3 linked regions of the Drosophila melanogaster genome follow. The gene in region 1 interacts genetically with each later gene. Each region holds a gene or a part of one and is shown in the gene's direction. Other genes may lie near its edges. The genes, in order: Zw, AMPKalpha and ND-23.

The links.
Region 2: of Zw (region 1) and AMPKalpha, changing one suppresses a phenotype caused by changing the other (phenotypic suppression), as found in Drosophila melanogaster (one study listed by BioGRID).
Region 3: of Zw (region 1) and ND-23, changing one suppresses a phenotype caused by changing the other (phenotypic suppression), as found in Drosophila melanogaster (one study listed by BioGRID).

Annotation. Positions count from the first base shown.
Region 1 is NC_004354.4:19,664,968-19,673,393, forward strand, and holds Zw (zwischenferment), read left to right. Parts: upstream 1-2,284; 5' UTR 2,285-2,634; coding exon 2,635-2,653; exon of another isoform or gene 2,654-2,779; intron 2,780-4,754; exon of another isoform or gene 4,755-5,100; intron 5,101-5,372; exon of another isoform or gene 5,373-5,446; intron 5,447-5,516; coding exon 5,517-5,776; intron 5,777-5,838; coding exon 5,839-6,056; intron 6,057-6,141; coding exon 6,142-7,219; 3' UTR 7,220-7,386; downstream 7,387-8,426. Other genes in the region: Ssu72 CTD phosphatase, read left to right, coding at 1-226, 285-386; et (eye transformer), read right to left, coding at 7,669-8,426. UniProt on the Drosophila melanogaster protein: Cytosolic glucose-6-phosphate dehydrogenase that catalyzes the first and rate-limiting step of the oxidative branch within the pentose phosphate pathway/shunt, an alternative route to glycolysis for the dissimilation of carbohydrates and a major source of reducing power and metabolic intermediates for fatty acid and nucleic acid biosynthetic processes.
Region 2 is NC_004354.4:1,373,275-1,379,760, forward strand, and holds AMPKalpha (AMP-activated protein kinase alpha subunit), read left to right. Parts: upstream 1-2,261; 5' UTR 2,262-2,481; exon of another isoform or gene 2,482-2,595; 5' UTR 2,596-2,634; coding exon 2,635-2,913; intron 2,914-3,421; coding exon 3,422-4,891; 3' UTR 4,892-5,622; downstream 5,623-6,486. Other genes in the region: ssx (sister-of-Sex-lethal), read left to right, coding at 1-77; CG3719 (uncharacterized protein), read right to left, coding at 5,802-6,098.
Region 3 is NT_033777.3:15,835,125-15,839,461, reverse strand, and holds ND-23 (NADH dehydrogenase (ubiquinone) 23 kDa subunit), read left to right. Parts: upstream 1-2,344; 5' UTR 2,345-2,432; coding exon 2,433-2,472; intron 2,473-2,655; coding exon 2,656-3,107; exon of another isoform or gene 3,108-3,175; coding exon 3,176-3,337; 3' UTR 3,338-3,414; downstream 3,415-4,337. Other genes in the region: Pbp45 (PSEA-binding protein 45kD), read left to right, coding at 50-1,141; spn-E (spindle E), read right to left, coding at 1,482-1,724, 1,782-1,979; Arpc3A (Actin-related protein 2/3 complex, subunit 3A), read right to left, coding at 3,912-4,265. UniProt on the Drosophila melanogaster protein: Core subunit of the mitochondrial membrane respiratory chain NADH dehydrogenase (Complex I) that is believed to belong to the minimal assembly required for catalysis. Complex I functions in the transfer of electrons from NADH to the respiratory chain.

The DNA of each region.
Region 1 (8,426 bases):
CCGCAATCGTCGCATAAAGAAGTGCCCGGAACGGTTTCAGGACACCAAAGAGCAGTTCGACATCATCGTCACTGTGGAAGAGCGCGTCTACGACCTGGTGGTGATGCACATGGAGTCCATGGAATCCGTGGACAACCGACCCGTGCACGTTCTCAACGTGGATGTGGTGGACAACGCTGAAGATGCGCTAATGGGCGCCTTTGTCATCACAGACATGATAAACATGGTATGATCATCTGTCGTCCATTCCCTCAATTCGCCCAACGATTCTTGTGCCTTTGCAGATGGCCAAGTCCACGGACCTGGACAACGACATCGACGAATTGATCCAGGAGTTCGAGGAGCGCCGCAAGCGGGTCATCCTGCACTCGGTGCTCTTCTACTGACGACCGACGTCTGCTAACAGTTCGTGTCCAGCTCCAGCACCAACACCAGACTCCCGTAGCCCCGACGCGCTCCAGCCGAGTCACTCGATCTTGTACCCCAGGGGCTGCGATCGCAGAGCATAGGACGTCGGGCATTGCGCGCAGCGCGTGCGGATCCTGGGTTCCGGATTGGTAGCCTAGCATATAAGAATACTGTAAATAGAGAGGGGCCATCGCTGCAGCGAAAGCACATCCAACAACGACCAGCACCCACACACTCGCATACTCCAAACACCTGATTCGTAATCCACATCAACACCACACATGCAAGCAACTGGCTAATGAATTGGAATATAACACACAACCAATGACGACCATTTCCACACGGCTGCCCCCCAAAACCCCTGTAGTAGTATGTGTACGTGTCCGTATTCCTTGTAATTTCGCCCGTCGACTGGGGGTCTTATCACAGGCTCTCGCTTCCCTCAGCTGGCGAAGGCGCCGACCATCTGACTCCGACCCGTTCTCCCGTTCGGCCGCTCTGCCGCTCTCTTCGCCCGGCTTTGAGTCCGATTCGGACTCAGATTCGGATTCGATTCACATAAAGTGAAATCTCGCATCGTGATTGTGTGAATGAGCATGCACGCCAGAGAGCCACACAGGGGCGGAACGGTCTGGGCCCTCGCGGGCAGGGGCCGCGTTTTTTAATTTTACACAGTTTTACCAATTGTTCAGACAGGGCAAACCCGACCGACCTTGGTTGGGGCTGTGCGTTTTAAACCAAAGGCAAAGGCCCGCAACGGGCGCTAGCTTGCAATAGAAAATAAACAACAGGGGAGTTGTGTTCACTAAGGATTGGAATAAAAGTGCACGCCAATTTATGCCGGTTTCTTGTTGACGGCCTGTGTCACATTTACCCTGCGACCTCAAACCTGCCTAGGTCTTCTCTTCGACGGAAATACCATTGATTACGTCTCATCCCACTGCTACCTCGGAGTTCACCTTGATCGGACGCTGAGTTGGAAAGCCCTTATCACGGCTCCTGGAAACTGAAAAAGCTGGACTGGGTTTTCCACTCAAGCAAACTCCATATGGCAACTAAGGCTCTCTTAATAAAAGCCATATCCAAGTGTGGGGAACAGAGTATTAGAGTAAGACAATCGGGAGCGGCACGACATGCATCTGGGCTACATGTGGTATGTGAGCAATAGAGTTATTGAAGGGGACTTAAAAGGTGTCCCATTGGGGTACCAAATAAACTTCCATAGCAGCCGATATGCCGACAGACTTAGCGCCCACTTAAACACGTTAGCGAATGATCTTGTCGACCCTATTTCCCTCCGATGTCTGAAGAGAATACATCCCCATGAACTCCTTACACGTAATATAGCATAATCTCTCCTCGGTACATTTGTATACACTATAATTAAGGAACAGAATCCATAATATCTTTTAAGCTACACATTAGGTTAACTTCAGAAGGAACTGATCGATTCCTACTGACTAATGAATAATAATAAATGATTTAAACTCTAAAAAGAAATGTTGACGTTTGCTCGTTTTCACTGACCAAATACGACGTGATTCTAGGTAGGATTAGAAATTGTAAGGGTGTTGTTTAGTAATGTGGGAATCATAATTCTAGCATAATTTCATCATTAAACTCATCAACGCATCAGATCAATGCTCTCAGATTAAACAGTTTTATTTCCATGTTATACTATGATATCGTATTATTTGTATATTTATGTGTTATCCATCAATTCCATTCACATGTAAATCCAGATCGAATGGGCCCCCGCGCGCACTGAATCCGCTCCTGTCTGCGATCAGCTGCGCAGTCGGGGTTACAAAGCGTCTGCTGCTTTAGCTGTTGTTGCTGGTGTGTTGGTGTTGTTGCCATTGGCAGTGCTTGCTTGGGCGTTTGTTTGCTGCGGCGGTTCGCGCCGCGCTTCAGTCAGTCAGGGAACGATCGTGCTTATCTTCATTACTACTACCGCTTCCACCGAGGCTTCGCGACTCCGTACCCGTACTCGCTTTGTTTTACGTTTGCGCTACTAGTTAGTGAATCCGACGACGACGACCTGCGCGTGCGATTAAAGCGCCGCAACTCTTTGTAATTACACAGCCAGAGCCGCAGAGGTTGCTCAAAATCCAGCGACTGGAGAAATCGTATATCGAGTTGGAAATCCGAATCGAAAGGCTTGCGTATACATAGTTGTCACACTTTTGCTTTTAAACAGAAAAATCCATTCACATTCGGGTCAAGATGGCAACGCAAAAGGAAGGTGAGTATCGCAGCTTTGGGCAATTGGTATCGAATTGGATTCCACACCGCGTACTGTTACCAATTCGATTTTCGGGCGCGTACTTGCCGCGATCACTGTCGCGCCAGGTGGACTGGCTTTCCAATCGGAATCCGATTGCGAGTGCGAGAGCCAGTGCCAGTGCCAGTGCCCGTGCCAGTGCGCCCTTCAAATGTGCTCTTCGCCTGGCACTGGGGGTCACCTACAAAAAGCAGAGGACGCGGACTCGGCCGACTGTCTTCTTATCACAGGAGAGGCCACACCGCTGCTCCGCTCCCGCACCCGCACCGCTCTCTATCATACTTTCATACTTCCACTCTCCACTACCACTGGCCACTCTCCACCTGTCACTCTTACTCTCACTCCTCCACGCCTACTACTCACTCCCCCAACTACCCATCCAGCCGAGCGATGACGTGTGGGCGCCGCTCTTGGCCATCGGACGGGCTTGGATCCGAGCGGCCAGCTAAAACAAACACTCGCTGCGTGCTCCAAGATTAGAACCCGGCAATAGCAATAACCTTTGGCGGCAGCGCGAACTCTCCAGTCCCCAGTCCCCAATCTCCGTTCTCCACTCTGTGGCAATGACATTGGAACGCATGCATGTGTACATTCTACGCACGGTTAATTAGCTGCCCACCTGCGTTCTACACGAGAAGCCTTTCCAAACAGAAACCAAAAAAAAAAAAAAGAAAACAAAAACAACAGCGGACAACAAATGCAAACTCGCTTGGCGTTAATAATATTCAAACGCGTTACCTTGCTCACCGCCTATTACTTTCTCCCTTCTCCACTCGCCCTCTACATTCGGCTGCTCTCCATTCTCCAATCTCCATTCTCCTTGCCCCAATGCCTTCGCTTCGTCTGTGTCAATGTCAAATGCGATGCGGCCGAGATTACAGTCGAGCTTCGATAAGTGAAACCAAGCTGAGTCAAGCAAAAATGCGAAGACTTGAGCAAGCAAGGCAAAACAAACGGGAAATTAAGACATATGGCAAACTCAAAAAAAAGGTTAAAGTCATTTATGTTCCTGCTAGGCAAACACCACTGTCGGCTTGTGACTCACAATCTCGGCATTTGAAGGAGCTCGCTAGCCTCTTAGTCACCATCCATCCATCCACCAGCACCATCCAACTCACTGGCTGTGTAATCTTTCGAAGCTCCTACAGCCGAAAAGTATGCATTACCGGCGTTCGCAGAGATCGGCCTCGGAATTAGGGTTAAATTCCAGCTCAACTCATATCTTCGGAGAGCCCAGGTAGCCCGCCGTAGAATCACGTGATTCACCGAGACCCATCCACTTCGACATTTAAACGACTCACAATGATTCTCAAAAACGAACGCAGTGCCCCATGATGTTTCCAGAAGCTCATATTATCGAAATCTATATTTTATGACACCGTGACAGTGCCTGCATTAGTGGCTCGCAACCCTTTTTAAACGACACACAATGATTCTCAAAAACGAACGCAGTGCCCCTCCTCCATTCATTTTCCAAAAGCTCATTATATCGAAATCTATGTTATGACACCGCGACAGTGCCTCCATTATTGGCTCACAACCTTTTTGAAACATTTTCCGAATGATTTTCCTATGACCTCTAAGATACGAACGTGCACACATTCAAAATCGGGGAGCTTTAGGTTTTCAAGATTTTGAGATTTTTGAACTTTTGAAAAAGTCTATCTACATACTCGTAGTTATTTTTAGAGATATACTACAGAGGTTTACTAAAGGCTAGTTACTAGTTTGCAAGAACAGTATCCCTAGTAGATCACATAGCAGCAGATCAAGTATATATCATCCATTAAGCATACAACACTGTAATCTCTTCCGATCTGTGCGGGAAGTGATGCCATCGTGGGTTCATCTGATCATCCGACCGATCGCATTCCCGCCACGCGATCGACTGATGCTGCCCGTTCCGAAGCCAAGTTTGGATATACGGTGAATAGTGATGTATGTACATACATACGTCCGGAGCACTTGGCTTGCACTTTGTGCCCAAGTTCGCCTCGCCGTCGACGTCGCTGCCGGGTTCATCGCTTACACCTTGTTAAAGTCGACCGCAGCGCGGCGATTTATTCGTTTTGTGCAACCGCATCGGAAGATACGCGCGTGCACCTGCTCCACCTTTTACACCTGGCCAAGCTTCCGCCACCTAACCCAGTTCCACCTGGCCCAGCCCACAGCTATCCGGGCATCAATTAGCGCCCGCTGCGGAGGTTGACCTCTGGCGGATTCTTTGGCCAGTCATCGGGATCGAATCGAATCGAATCGAATCGAATCGGATCGGATCGGATCGGAGTTGATTAGACAACGGACCCCGGTCTTATCGAGTGCTTATCGCTCCCCCTTCCCTTGACATTGAATAGGCCTTCAAATAGTCTGCATTCGGGCCCAGACCATCAGTTGCCTCCAGGCCCTCGGTGAGTCCTCACGCAGCTCATTCTGACCAACCAATCACCAACCATACGGAGTCGATGAGTCCCCCGGTGATCTATGCAAGCCAAAGGGCAAGGTCACTGAAAATTCCCGCACATCCTAAAGCTGATAGCATTTTTTTTGTTTTTCTCACTGTGCAACTAACAACTAAGAAGTAGAGAACCCCTATACCATTCTCACTTTATAGTTTAGCAGTAAAAGCAATGCATTTAAGGAAGCTATAACTATTTCTAGTTCATTTAGTTCCCTTTGATAAAGTTTTGACAGTTGAAAAAAGTTACTTAGTGAAAAAAACAAGTAGAAATTCCTGGATATCCACAGAGCCACAGAGTAATAGTCTTAAGTGGAATTCAAAGCCAGAGTAAGCCTAACCAGATCCGCCTTTCATATGTGCCCACAGATCACACCGCCCTGGATCTCATAATCAAGTCACTCAAGTCGCCTACAATGGTCTGCGAGGGAACCCACTTTGACGGCAAGATTCCGCACACGTTCGTCATCTTTGGGGCGTCGGGCGATCTGGCCAAGAAGAAGATCTACCCCACGCTCTGGTGGCTCTACCGCGATGACCTGCTGCCCAAGCCGACCAAGTTCTGCGGCTATGCCCGTTCCATGCTGACCGTCGATAGCATCAAGGAGCAGTGTCTGCCGTACATGAAGGTGCGTTCGGGATTTGGTCATAGGCCATTTGCATCGCATTAACCCAACCCATTGCCACACAGGTCCAGCCGCACGAGCAGAAGAAGTACGAGGAGTTCTGGGCCCTCAATGAGTACGTGTCCGGCAGATATGACGGACGCACTGGCTTCGAGCTGCTTAACCAGCAGCTGGAGATTATGGAGAACAAGAACAAGGCCAACCGCATCTTCTATCTGGCCCTGCCGCCCAGCGTCTTCGAGGAGGTGACTGTCAACATCAAGCAGATCTGCATGTCGGTCTGGTGAGTATAAGATCAAGATCAAGATCCAGATGCATTTAATTTGAAACCCGATACTTATGTACACCTATAACCCGTTCGCTTGCAGCGGTTGGAACCGCGTGATTATCGAGAAGCCTTTCGGCCGGGATGACGCCTCCTCGCAGGCGCTGAGCGACCATCTGGCCGGTCTGTTCCAGGAGGATCAGCTGTACCGCATCGATCACTACCTGGGCAAGGAGATGGTGCAGAACCTGATGACCATACGCTTCGGCAACAAGATCCTCAGCTCGACGTGGAACCGCGAGAACATCGCCTCCGTGCTGATCACGTTCAAGGAGCCCTTCGGCACGCAGGGTCGTGGCGGCTACTTCGACGAGTTCGGCATCATACGCGACGTGATGCAGAACCATCTGCTGCAGATCCTCTCGCTGGTGGCCATGGAGAAGCCGGTGAGCTGCCACCCGGACGACATTCGTGACGAGAAGGTCAAGGTGCTGAAGAGCATCGAGGCCCTGACGCTGGATGACATGGTGCTGGGCCAGTACCTGGGCAATCCGCAGGGTACAAACGATGATGCGCGCACGGGCTACGTGGAGGACCCCACCGTTAGCAACGATTCGAACACGCCCACCTACGCCCTCGGCGTGCTCAAGATCAACAACGAGCGCTGGCAGGGAGTGCCCTTCATCCTGCGCTGCGGCAAGGCGCTGAACGAGCGCAAGGCGGAGGTGCGTATCCAGTACCAGGACGTGCCCGGCGACATCTTCGAGGGCAATACGAAGCGCAACGAGCTGGTCATCCGCGTCCAGCCGGGCGAGGCCCTGTACTTTAAGATGATGACCAAGAGCCCCGGCATCACGTTCGACATCGAGGAGACGGAGCTGGACCTCACCTACGAGCACCGCTACAAGGACTCCTACCTGCCGGACGCGTACGAGCGTCTCATCCTCGACGTCTTCTGCGGCTCCCAGATGCACTTCGTCCGCTCGGACGAGCTGCGCGAGGCGTGGCGCATATTTACGCCCATTCTGCACCAGATCGAGAAGGAGCACATTCGGCCAATCACCTACCAGTACGGATCGCGCGGTCCCAAGGAGGCGGACCGCAAGTGCGAGGAGAACAATTTCAAGTACTCCGGCTCCTACAAGTGGCACGGCGGCAAGGCGGCCACGTCCAATCACTGAGCGTTTGGAGCACACCAATCCCCGGGCTGGGTTCGCAGGATACTCCTCTCTGTCCGCACGTACATGTACATACATACATATATATGTATATATACATATATGCATTCTTTGGTTATTTGTAATTCGGTCTGTACAAGATTTTTTTTTATTAAATATACAAAATAGTGTTTAGCTGGAGCAGAACGATCTTCTAACTCATAATCCCGGCTAGTTCGATGTGTATGTGGTGATGCCGATCGCATGCGTGTCGATGTACATAAATAGATCCTTCATAGGATGGCAGATGGGTGGCAAACGTAACCCTACGGTTGTAATACTAACTAAATAATGAGTATGCTTCTGGTCAGTGGGCTTCGGTGCTGAGCCGGGCTAGTTACTAGCGGCTCCTCTCGAATATAGATTTACAGGCGAACTACAACAAGAGCGGGCAGCAATCTTCCCGAGAGATTTCAGCGCACGGGTGGCGGCTTGATGTACCCATCGCCGCAGGGCGCGCCTATTGCGCTCATGGACACATACTGATTGGTTACGTACGCATCGGCCTGGGGCACGGGCTGTGGTCTGGGCACCTCCTGCAGCTCTATCTCCGGCCACCTCGTGGGCTCCTCTTCCGCAAATGTCACGGTTTTGCGCACTGTGCCGTAGAACTTCTCCGGCGGAACATTGGCGGGATAGAACAGGCGTACATCGCCAAGTGGATTTGCTGTGGGCTCTTCGCTCATCACTGGCAGTTCAACCCGGATGTCCGCCATTTGGCGCAGCTTCTGAATGGCCAAGACGAGCGACCCAAGCACCAGCAGAGCGATGGTGCCCTCCACGTACCGCAAGATCTTTGGCTTCTCGGGCACCTCGCTGTCACCGGACCACCAGCGCATCCCGGTGGTCAGGCCGTCGCTGTAGTTGGCCGCCACAGCCATCCGGATCACGCCCTGGATTCCGGAGAAATTGTACGCCGTCTCGCGGGCGTAGGTCGTCTCGATGGAGGAACTATCGTCGCAGGCATCGTGCACTTTGCTGGATAGCTTGCACCAATAGACTATGTAGCCAGTGAAGTTTCCCAGCTCCTCCGGCCCTTGCCAGCTGAGTCTGGAGCTCGTCTTATTGTAGCTCTCCAGGTAAATCCGTCGATCCCGGATGTCGCTCAGTCTGGGCACCTCCAGCTGGCTGCTCTCCAGCGATCGACCGACGACATTGCTGCTCCACACAG
Region 2 (6,486 bases), about 18 Mb from region 1:
GCCCGCAAGCCTCCAGAACAACCATCAGATATATTGCGCATTCGGTGGCAGATCCCGTTCCCACTCCGACTACCTAGTGCCGCTCTACTTTCCAGCCCCCGCCCATCCATCAGTTGTTTCCATCTCCTCGCCAGCTGCGTCACTTTCGGCCTACCCAGCTGTTTTGGCCGTGTATGTTCCGGTATATGTCACGGTTCCGGTCTCTCTTCCTGTTACCATGAACAGAGCCAGTCCACAAGCTTAAAGTGAGTGCAGACGGAGGCGGCGGAGGCGGTGGCCACATGGTAGAAGCGAGTAGAAATAGATTGAGTGCAATCGGAGGAGGGAAGAGGAGATATTACCCAGAAGCGATATCCAATAGTAGCCAACTCTCTCGCTCTCTATGTGTATGTATGTATCTTGCTATCCATATATGTATATCCATATCAGAGAGCCAGGATTGGTTGAGACCATACGATATAACCCGAAACCACACTGGCCAGGAATAGCAAATCCAAGCATTGGCAGCAAGAGGCAAAGCAAAGGTGCACGGCAGACATAGGCAGTACCACAAGAACACTATCACAGAATTAAGCAGAGCAAATTAAAGATGCATAGCGTGTATTAAGATGTACGAAATAATGTTCCAAAGTTAACCAGCCTACACAATCCCCAACAACACACACACACACACACATAAAGACGGTCGGAGTCGAATCCTTGATCGAACCACATAAGAAAAAATTCCAATGAGTTTGTATGAGCAACATACAAAGCCCCAAACGCAAACCATCAGCCACTCAAGACGAGACGAGAACGCAACCAAAACTCAAATATAACTTTCCTGCACTCATCTCCAGTTCACGAAACAATCTTCGCTCTTGGTGGATTGCGAATTGTAAATGAATTGAGTAACTGCACGGATGCAAAGCCCCAAGATGTGGCGACTATTCCGGCCGGACACTGTGAGACGGACGTTACACACACGGATATATAGAGAGACGAACCTTATGACAACAGACAGAAGACGCTTGCTCTGAATAGATGGTTAATTTGTAGACTTATAAGGAACGTCGACAGCGAGGGTTCGTTCGCGTCACTTGCTTTTTACTACATTATAAATAAATTATTGATGTACTACCAACAAACCAAGAACAAGAACACCACACTATACAAACACCTATATATTAGATAATATATATGAATGATGTATAAATACCCGAACTTCGGGTAAACTTCCAACAGAAACCCGACAAGAAGATGGCTGAATATGAAATAAACTTGAAATTTTCCAACCAGCATACCCGTGAGACCCAGAGGTCCGAAATTTTTTTTTTTTAGTATTGATAATCTCTAAACGTAAATCCTAGTCTCGTAGCAATATCATAGTTAAGGTGACTTTTTTTTCAGAATAAACTTAAAGCACGAAAGAAATACATGTATTTAAACCTTAAATCCTAAAGTTTATAATAAACGAACACAAATTGAATTCTTGAGTCTGCGAGCGAGATGGTGCGATGCAGCCTCAGCGAAAGAGAGCGAGAGAGATGATACAGATTTGAGGTACAGTCAGCACAGTACAGTGCGGATCAGAGCTTAAGTTGACGATATACTATTGTTGTAAATTGATGTTAGGCTAAGCAAATAAATAGTTAAAATGTTCAATTTTCGCTTAGCTGAATCCTGATCGTCGTAAAAACGCATTTACACGAACATTATATACTAGTCATTAAGCGGTTCTATTTGACAGGTGAAAACAAGAAGCTGTGGCAGCCTTTTACTACAGAAACTAAAAAAGAAAAATACAAAGCTTGACATATACACGCATATTTGTGAACAAACTGAATTTTACCATACATCTTTGAGAATTTTAGGACAGTATTCTTGATAATCTATATTGAATGTTGATCTACACTTAACGTTGCACAAAAGAGGTATCTTTCTGACCTTCTATGCGCGTGGAGTGGATCCAAAAAATCAACTTGGTGTAATAAATGTGTATTTAAATCACAAAACGGGCATCTTTTCCCTTTCAATTGGACATCAGAGAGTTTCGACAACGCACACCTACTAGTTTTTTTGCGAGCTTAACTATTTCAAATGTGGTTGAGTAAAGCCATTAATATTGCTTTTTATAAATTCAGCATAAGTGGCAAGATGGTTTTAAATTGCGCGCCACTGCGGAACTACCTGGCATCACTGGCCGCCACTTATCGATAGCCACTGGAAGGCGAGAGAGAGAGAGAAAGAGAGGGCGCGAATCAGCTGCTGGAACGAGTGTTGTTGGAAGGCAGTGTTGTTGGAAGTGGCAGCGCCTTCCAATGTCAATTAAATAAGCAAAACGCGAAGAAAACCCAAGCGTAAAGGAGAGTCTCGTTGCCGCGCTCGAATAGAAATCCAGGAAATCAGTATCAATTCAACCGCCCTTGACACATCCACAACCACTTTGACATCCGAATCCGTATCCGGGCGAGGTGGCACGGCTGGCAGGAAGAACGTAACGTGAGTGGCTGCTCTATTCTATTCTATTCTGTTGATTCAGCGGAGTACACTACGCAATAACCGATAACGACCTTACCACCGCTCCCCTCTCCGCGCCCATCCGCAGCGGAGCAGTGGAGCACCCCCAGTCCAACAAGGAGCTACCTGCTCGAGATGCCCCAGATGAGGGCTGCGGCCGCTGAGGCGGTGGCCGCCGGCAGCGCCAATGGCCAGCCGCTGGTCAAGATTGGGCACTACCTACTGGGCGCAACCCTGGGAACGGGAACCTTCGGCAAGGTGAAGATCGGCGAGCACCAGATCACACGCGTCAAGGTGGCCGTCAAGATACTCAATCGTCAGAAGATCAAAAGCCTGGACGTCGTGGGCAAGATCCGGCGTGAGATCCAGAACCTAAAGCTCTTCCGCCATCCGCACATCATCAAGTTGTACCAGGTGAGTTCATGGCTCCAAGCTTAGACTTTCTAAGTCCAAGCTTTCCAGGAAACTGGGTTACTGGTTTCCTCTTCCAATTACGCTGGCCAGCTACTAATAACAAACAATCAAGCCGCAGTTTAATAAACAAAAAGGCAGGATATGCCCGAAGGGGGAATAGCTTTTCTATAACAACATTTTGGAGGTTTGTTTATCTATAAAGTACACGGTCATGCCTAGTCATCCGAATTTTGTTGCGGAAGGCAAATGCATATCTAGAAACTGGGCCACTGGCTAGACATTCGCAACAGACATAGAAGCCCAACTTAAATGAGCAAAAAGTTTGGAAGGAAAGTTTATAAAAGGAATATGTACGGGGTCTGCTTTGGTTTTACAAGCACATTTTCCCTCGATTTTCGGATTGGATCAGTTACCAATTAGGTTAGGCAGGGCTTGGGGGAACCTAGGGACGGCTGCAGTCATCAGCTGATATAAACGTGCTTGCTAACCTTTCCGTAACTCTCCGAAGGTCATATCGACGCCGTCGGACATCTTCATGATCATGGAGTACGTGAGCGGCGGGGAGCTGTTCGACTATATTGTGAAGCACGGCAAGCTGCAGGAGCACCAAGCGCGCCGCTTTTTTCAGCAGATTATCTCTGGCGTGGACTATTGCCACCGGCACATGATCGTGCATCGAGACCTGAAGCCAGAGAACCTGCTGCTCGACCACAACATGCACGTGAAGATCGCCGACTTTGGGCTCTCGAACATGATGCTGGACGGCGAGTTCCTGCGCACCTCGTGCGGCTCGCCCAACTACGCGGCGCCCGAGGTGATTTCCGGCAAGCTGTACGCCGGTCCCGAGGTGGACATCTGGTCGTGCGGCGTCATCCTGTACGCCCTGCTGTGCGGGACGCTGCCCTTTGACGACGAGCATGTGCCTACGCTGTTTCGCAAGATCAAGTCGGGCATTTTCCCCATTCCCGAGTACCTCAACAAACAAGTGGTCAATCTGGTCTGTCAGATGCTGCAAGTGGACCCGCTCAAGCGGGCCAACATCGAGGAAATCAAGAAGCACGAGTGGTTCCAAAAGGACCTCCCGGCCTACCTCTTCCCCTCGTCCATCGAGCAGGACTCCAATGTGATCGACACCTACGCTGTGGCAGAGGTCTGCACCAAGTTCGGCGTCAAGGAGACCGAGGTGCACAACTCGCTGCTCAGCGGCGATCCGCACGATCAGCTGGCCATCGCTTACCATCTGATCATCGACAACAAACGCTTCGCCGACGACGCGGCCAACCAAATAAACGAGATCAACAACTTCTTTGTGGCCGGCTCTCCACCACCGCCGCCGCCTCCGCCCGTTCCCCAATCATCGATGGACCACCAAGCCCCTCTGGCCACCGTGACCGTTGGCGGAGGTACCTCAGCCAGCTCGGGCACCGCCACACCAGTGCCACCAGTGGCTGGAGGCACGCCTAGCAGCACCATACCCATTCGACCGCATCCGGAGCGGATTGCGCCGATGCGGGACCGTCAACTGGCCATGTCCGTGCAGACATCTGGCGGCGGAGCCTTCCCGGAGAAAACCGCACGTGGCGGCACTCCCATCAAGCGCGCCAAGTGGCATCTGGGCATCCGGTCGCAGAGCAAGCCCAACGACATAATGCTCGAGGTATACCGAGCGATGAAGGCACTCAGCTACGAGTGGAAGATCATCAATCCGTACCACGTTCGGGTGCGCAGGCAGAACGTGAAGACCGGCAAGTTCTCGAAGATGTCACTGCAGCTGTACCAGGTGGACGCCAAGAGCTATCTGCTCGACTTCAAGTCGCTGACCAACGACGAGGTCGAGCAGGGCGACGACGTCATCATGGAGAGCCTTACTCCGCCGCCGCTTAGCGTGTCCGGGGTGATGCCGCTGCAGCCGACCGGCCACCACACCATGGAGTTTTTCGAAATGTGCGCCGCCCTGATCATTCAACTGGCTCGCTAAGGATGAGGTGACCGCCATCGGCCGCAGCGGACCGGATGGGATCTTCTCGGCTGGCGATCCGCACTCGGACAGTCCTGAGGATTGACCATTACCCGGAAGACACAGTCCCACAAAGGAAAGCTGGGGGGAGTTTCGGGCTCCGCGGATCCCGGAGTCTGGCCTTAACCACATGACTAAGTTCTTGCATTCGTCCCAAACCCTTTTGATTTTAATCGGAAACCCAATGTGCAATTATCGGTAGCAGGATTTGGGAATAGATTTTAAAAATGGCCTGCTACTAGACGACGAACAAGAGCTTGGGACTCCGACTCCAGCTTTTCTTTGTGCGGCTGTGTAATCCACATAAAATGTTATTGAACTCGGACACCGCCAACCGCCGTTGCCGCTACGCTACCGTTACCCGCTTTGCCGTATCGATTTCCGCTTCCGGTTAGTCTAAGTCTGTAGGTTCCGCCCGGTCGGCGGGCTTCGATCCGTTTCTGTTCTGTTCTGTTTCTATTTCGATTTATGTTTATAAGCAAGTTGAGTTATTATCCAAACCGCATGTGCACGTGGATGTATTTGTATTATGCCTAACGAATTGTAATTGGAACCTCGTCTGGGGAAGCTGTCAGATAACAACCAGATGTGGACCAAGTTTTATGTATCTGTATCTGAACCAACCAAACAATAAAGCGATCCATTAATATTCTAAATCGATTGTGGACGAAGTGTGAATTAAGAGTAGCCATAATTAAAGTTAGTTTTATTGCATATTAAGGTATGTTGTGCACATTCTTTCAGCATCGATGATTGCAAATTCTGCCTCGGCATTGGGCTTCATATCGCAGTTCCAGTCTCCCGTTTCGTGTGTAAAATCATAGCATCCCTGATCTAATCCACCTGTGCATCGCATCGCCGCTCCAGCTCACTACTGCTTCTGCTGTTGCTTCCGCTTCAGTTTGTCGATTAGGGTCTCGATGCTGTTGGCGTCGACCAGACCAATGAACTTGTCCACTACGACGCCGTTCCTGAAGGCCAGAACAGCGGGCACGGCCTTCACCTCGAAGGTCTCGACGAGATCCAGGTTCGTCTCCACATCGATGACCGCCAGGTCGATCTCGTTCGAGTTCTCAAGCAGCTCGAGCATCTTGGGCGTGAGTATCTTACAGGGGTCGCACCACTCGGCGTGGAAGTTCACGATCACCGGGTTGTCGCTGTTGATCACCTGCGGAACAAGGCATAATACATAGGTGGTGGTTGAACAGACTTTAAAATTGGAGTGCTTTGCTCGGAACTAACAAAACACCTCATTGTCATCCCCATAACGTCACCACAACGTCGAGTATGCCAGATTATGCCACTTATAGGCATAACGTCATAGCTAAAAAGGGGAGATGGACCTGCGGCTGCCGGGGTGACTATCGAGATTGATTTGCGGCAGAATACTGCAGTTTTCATATAGTGAGTGATTCATACAATTGTAGCCAGTGTCTGCTATATTAGTAGTTTTAAATTCCGTCTACTCTGAGATTGCGGGGTGGTCACTTGGGAGGCTACAAAATGTGTGTGTGTGTGTGACTCACGTTTCTCTTATCTCGCCTAATCCAACTGCA
Region 3 (4,337 bases), on another chromosome or scaffold:
CTCTTTTGAATGAGAGATGCGCATATATTTCGCGTAATTAAGATTCAGAATGGAGCTGAATATCTTTGACGACTGCTGGGAGCTGGTGCAACGATTTCAGCGATTGGTTAATGATGGCGAAAACTGCGAGTTCGAGGTGTTCTGCCGGTGCTGGCGAGAACTGCAGCTGCAGCACCTCTTCACTGCCCAGACGAACCACACAGAGGTGATAGCCACCACACTGGCGGCCCTGCATGTGGCCAAGCGACTGTCGTGCTCCCGACGCACCACCGGGGACGTTTTCCCGGCATCTCGCGCTCAAAGGATCGGAGGTTTCTTTCTGCTCTACGTAATCTACTACAAGCAGCCCACGCACAACTTTATTAAGATCGAGGTCTCACCGCGCACTTGGCAAGAACTAACAGACTACGCTCTAGATCTGCGCAAGGATAGTCCGGAGCGGAAGGACACTCATCAGATCGCCTACATGCTGTGGCGCCTGACCCAGGAGCAGGCCTTCCGCTTCACCGCGCTCGACTATTGCCAGGGGTTGGACAATCTGGTGGACTACGACCGTGTGGAGACCGTAGCGGGTGCCAAGGAACAGAGGCAGAGTGCCTTGATGCAGAAGCAACAGCGTGCGAACGGCGTCAGTCTCACATACGAACTGGAGGGTCTGCGAGCACTGGACCAGGCAAGCCAGCCATTGTGTGAACTGGAAGCGGCATACAATGCCCAAAAGAAGCAATTGGCGGCTGGTCATGAGCACGCTTTGCCGCCCTCTCAAATATTCGGCCATTTGCGAGAAGTCTTTGCCGATATCCAAAGTGTTCTAGGAGCTAGAAAGAGTACTCCAGATGAGAATTGTACCACAACATCTACAGGCAACCAGTTGGAAGTGCGCCAGAGGGTGCGGAACAAGGCCATGTACGGCGTCGAGGAACGGGAGCCGCAAAACCAGGCGGATGAACTAGAAGTGCAGCTGGAGGTCAACGAGACTTATCAACGCCGCATGTCCTCGGCCACCGTTTTTCAGAGGGAACTTCCAGCAGACGTGCAGCAAGAGTATGAGATGATTGAGTTTAGTGACGACGAGGAAATGGAAGTGGGTGAAAGCGAGGAGGTCACGGAAGAAGAACTCAAAGCTATTTTGGATACTTGAGTTAGTTTATAAAACTTTTACATAATTAAATAACTAGCATTTTTGCGCGATGTGATCTTGTTTATCTGTTGCACATAAAATATTCATTGTATTTAAGTATGTAGGATAGGATATATAACTATATAGGATATAAGTTTCCTAGGCTTTGCTATTCTTATATAAAGAGTTGAAAAGTATATTGAAGATTATTATTTATTATATAATATTAAATACTCTCGACTAGTTTGGATTTGAATTTCAAAAGTCGAGGATAAAAGGTTTAATTATAATTCGCTTGCGTTGGCTTTATTAAAATATAGACTTAATAAAAAAGTTAGGATTTTATTTAAGTTTTGCTCACCTGCGTGGTCTTGCCACATCCTGTTTCGCCCTTAATAATGACTACCGGATGAGCATTGATGGCCGCCAATATTTCCTCGCGCTTGGCGTAGATGGACAAGTTCTTGTCGCGATTCAGATTGAATCTGAACTTCTTGTAGTACTCGTCATCCCGGCGAATTTCGGTCTCTTCCCCCTCATCGTCGGTGTCCAAATCGTCCAGCGTTCGAATGCGTTTGCCTTGAGGCTGTTCGTTGAGCAGCGTCTGGATCGAATTACACATAAACAAACAGAAGTGCTGACGCAAGCTTCCAGTTCTCACCCCGTTCAGGAGACACTTTTCCTTGGCGACGATTTTGCTGACATAGTCGGTGCCGATCAACTCGCGGTTGGGCACTTCGGATGATTTGAACTTCGTGGCCATTAGCCTCGGATCGCTGCTGATGTAGCCTTGCGGGGCGGCGGCCACGCGCTTCAACTCCTTCGAGAAGTCAAAGAAATCCATAACCTCCTGATCCATTTTCCGACATAAACAATGAAAAATTTCACAATTCCGCGTAGCGGGAAAAGTTAAACTGTAAATTGTAGTGGTGGGGATTTTCAAAGTCAATGTTGAAAAGTGTAAAAGTGCGAATTTATATCGATAGTGCCATTATCGAAGCTTTAAGGTTTTTATTAGGGGTATTCGTATAAAAAAAATGTTTTCTTTTTTTTCTCACAGTCTTTCTGGATTATTTGTTAATATTATTTATTATTTTTACACGAATATTTAATTCTTTGTTACATTATTTATATTTTATATCTCATATTTTATTTTTGGTTTATGTCATTAAGAAACTACGATATATTTGAATACGATATTTGAGCATTGAATTTATGTGGGTAATCGAAAGAAACCCAGCTCTAATTTGTTCGGGCAAATTCAATAGCAAAACAACTTCTTTGGCAATTTTAGTTTAATTTGGTCGCAAAAATGTCGCTAACTATGCGAATTTTCACCGCATCGCGCAACGGTAGGTGGCGACCCATCCCCTCACATCCGTTGTTTTCCGGGAAATTTCCCATTTTCGTGGAAATCGCGGCGAGTGAGGTTATGTAAGCTTATGTCATACCAAAACAAAAGTCTAAACTCGCTTAATTCAGTATAACTTTTCGACTTAAGCATGTTATTTAATGGTAAAATGTTCTCCCCACAGGACAGCGCCTGTTTGGCAGCCATGGAGCCCGGCTGCTGGCCGCCCAGCGAGCAGAACCCAAAGATATCGTCGAGGTTCCCAAGGGCTATGTGTATGTAAACAACAAGGAACTGAGCATGGAGTTTGCCGACATCACGGACCGTGCTGCATCCACCATGTTCTTCGGTGAACTCTTACGTGGATTTGCCGTCACCCTGGCGCACATCTTCAAGGAACCGGCCACTATCAACTATCCCTTTGAAAAGGGACCACTGAGCCCGCGATTCCGCGGAGAACATGCCCTTCGTCGTTATCCCAGTGGAGAGGAGCGCTGCATCGCTTGCAAGCTATGCGAGGCTATTTGCCCCGCACAGGCGATCACCATCGAAGCGGAGGAGCGCGCGGATGGCAGCAGACGTACCACACGCTACGATATCGACATGACCAAGTGCATCTACTGCGGATTCTGTCAGGTGAGGAGGAGCAAAGTGGCGCCACAATTTACTAGAAACTAATTGCATCTTTTTGTCCCCCCGCGTAGGAAGCCTGTCCCGTGGACGCCATCGTCGAGGGACCCAACTTCGAGTTCTCCACGGAGACGCACGAGGAGCTGCTGTACAACAAGGAGAAGCTTCTCTGCAACGGCGACAAGTGGGAGTCCGAGATTGCCTCTAACTTGCAGGCCGACCATCTCTATCGTTAAAGTTGCTTGTACCCCTAGAATTCCTTGTTTAGAACGATTTTCCAATTAAAGATCGTTGCTGTGGCTTCGTCTTAAGCGAAAGTCAGTTGTATTTTTTTTAATTACTCAACTGGCCTAATAAATATAAATTATTTATATTCAAAGAGTTCCACGTTGTATTCGACAGATGACAAAGTTTATTTAATTAACAGGCCAATAGAAAGCATTTTTTCCAATGACGGAGCGACTACAAATAAATGAAACTTAGTTAATACTTTACTATTCCGATTTTGATTACACAAATTATAGGCAATAACTTCCATTTGCTGGTCAGTTATTAGAAACAGATATTATTTATGAAAGTTACTTGCAGTTTTATCCACGTTAATTTTGTAAAAAGAATTTACATAAATTAATTAAAACAGAAAGGCTTACAAATTCAAATAATTTATTTAGTGGTTAATGAATTTAATTAATTGTGACACGTTGGCAGTGATACTGCAAATTAGGACCACGCTGCGAGTAAAACTTAATTGAAGGGTATTTTTACCCGTCGTAGAAGCAAAACAAGATACCAGATATTGTGGATAGCTGTTTATTGTCCAGGTCCAGCCAGACTCTTCTCCATGAACTTTTTCTTCGCGAAGCAGGTCCACCATTTATTGGGCTTGCCATCCTCGGTGTTGAAGACCTTCTCCAGTACCCGGTTGCCGGTTTCGTGGCGCAGCTGCAGCAGGTACTGGCGCATCAGATCCGCATCCTGGGCCGTTTGCGGCTTGGCATAGACGGCGTTCAATGGGAAGCCAGCATCGCCGGGAATGTCGAACTTGGAGATGGCCAGGCTGTACATGTCCTGCTGTCCCTGGGCCTTGCTCGTGGAGCGATTGAGCTTCTTGAGGCACTCTGTTATGTAGAGCGTCACATAGATGAGCACGCGATCCACGTCGGACTGAAAATGGTAAAACATAGTTTGTGAATTCAAGTAGCAAGTAGCATAAGGATTCAATATGACCATCACGTG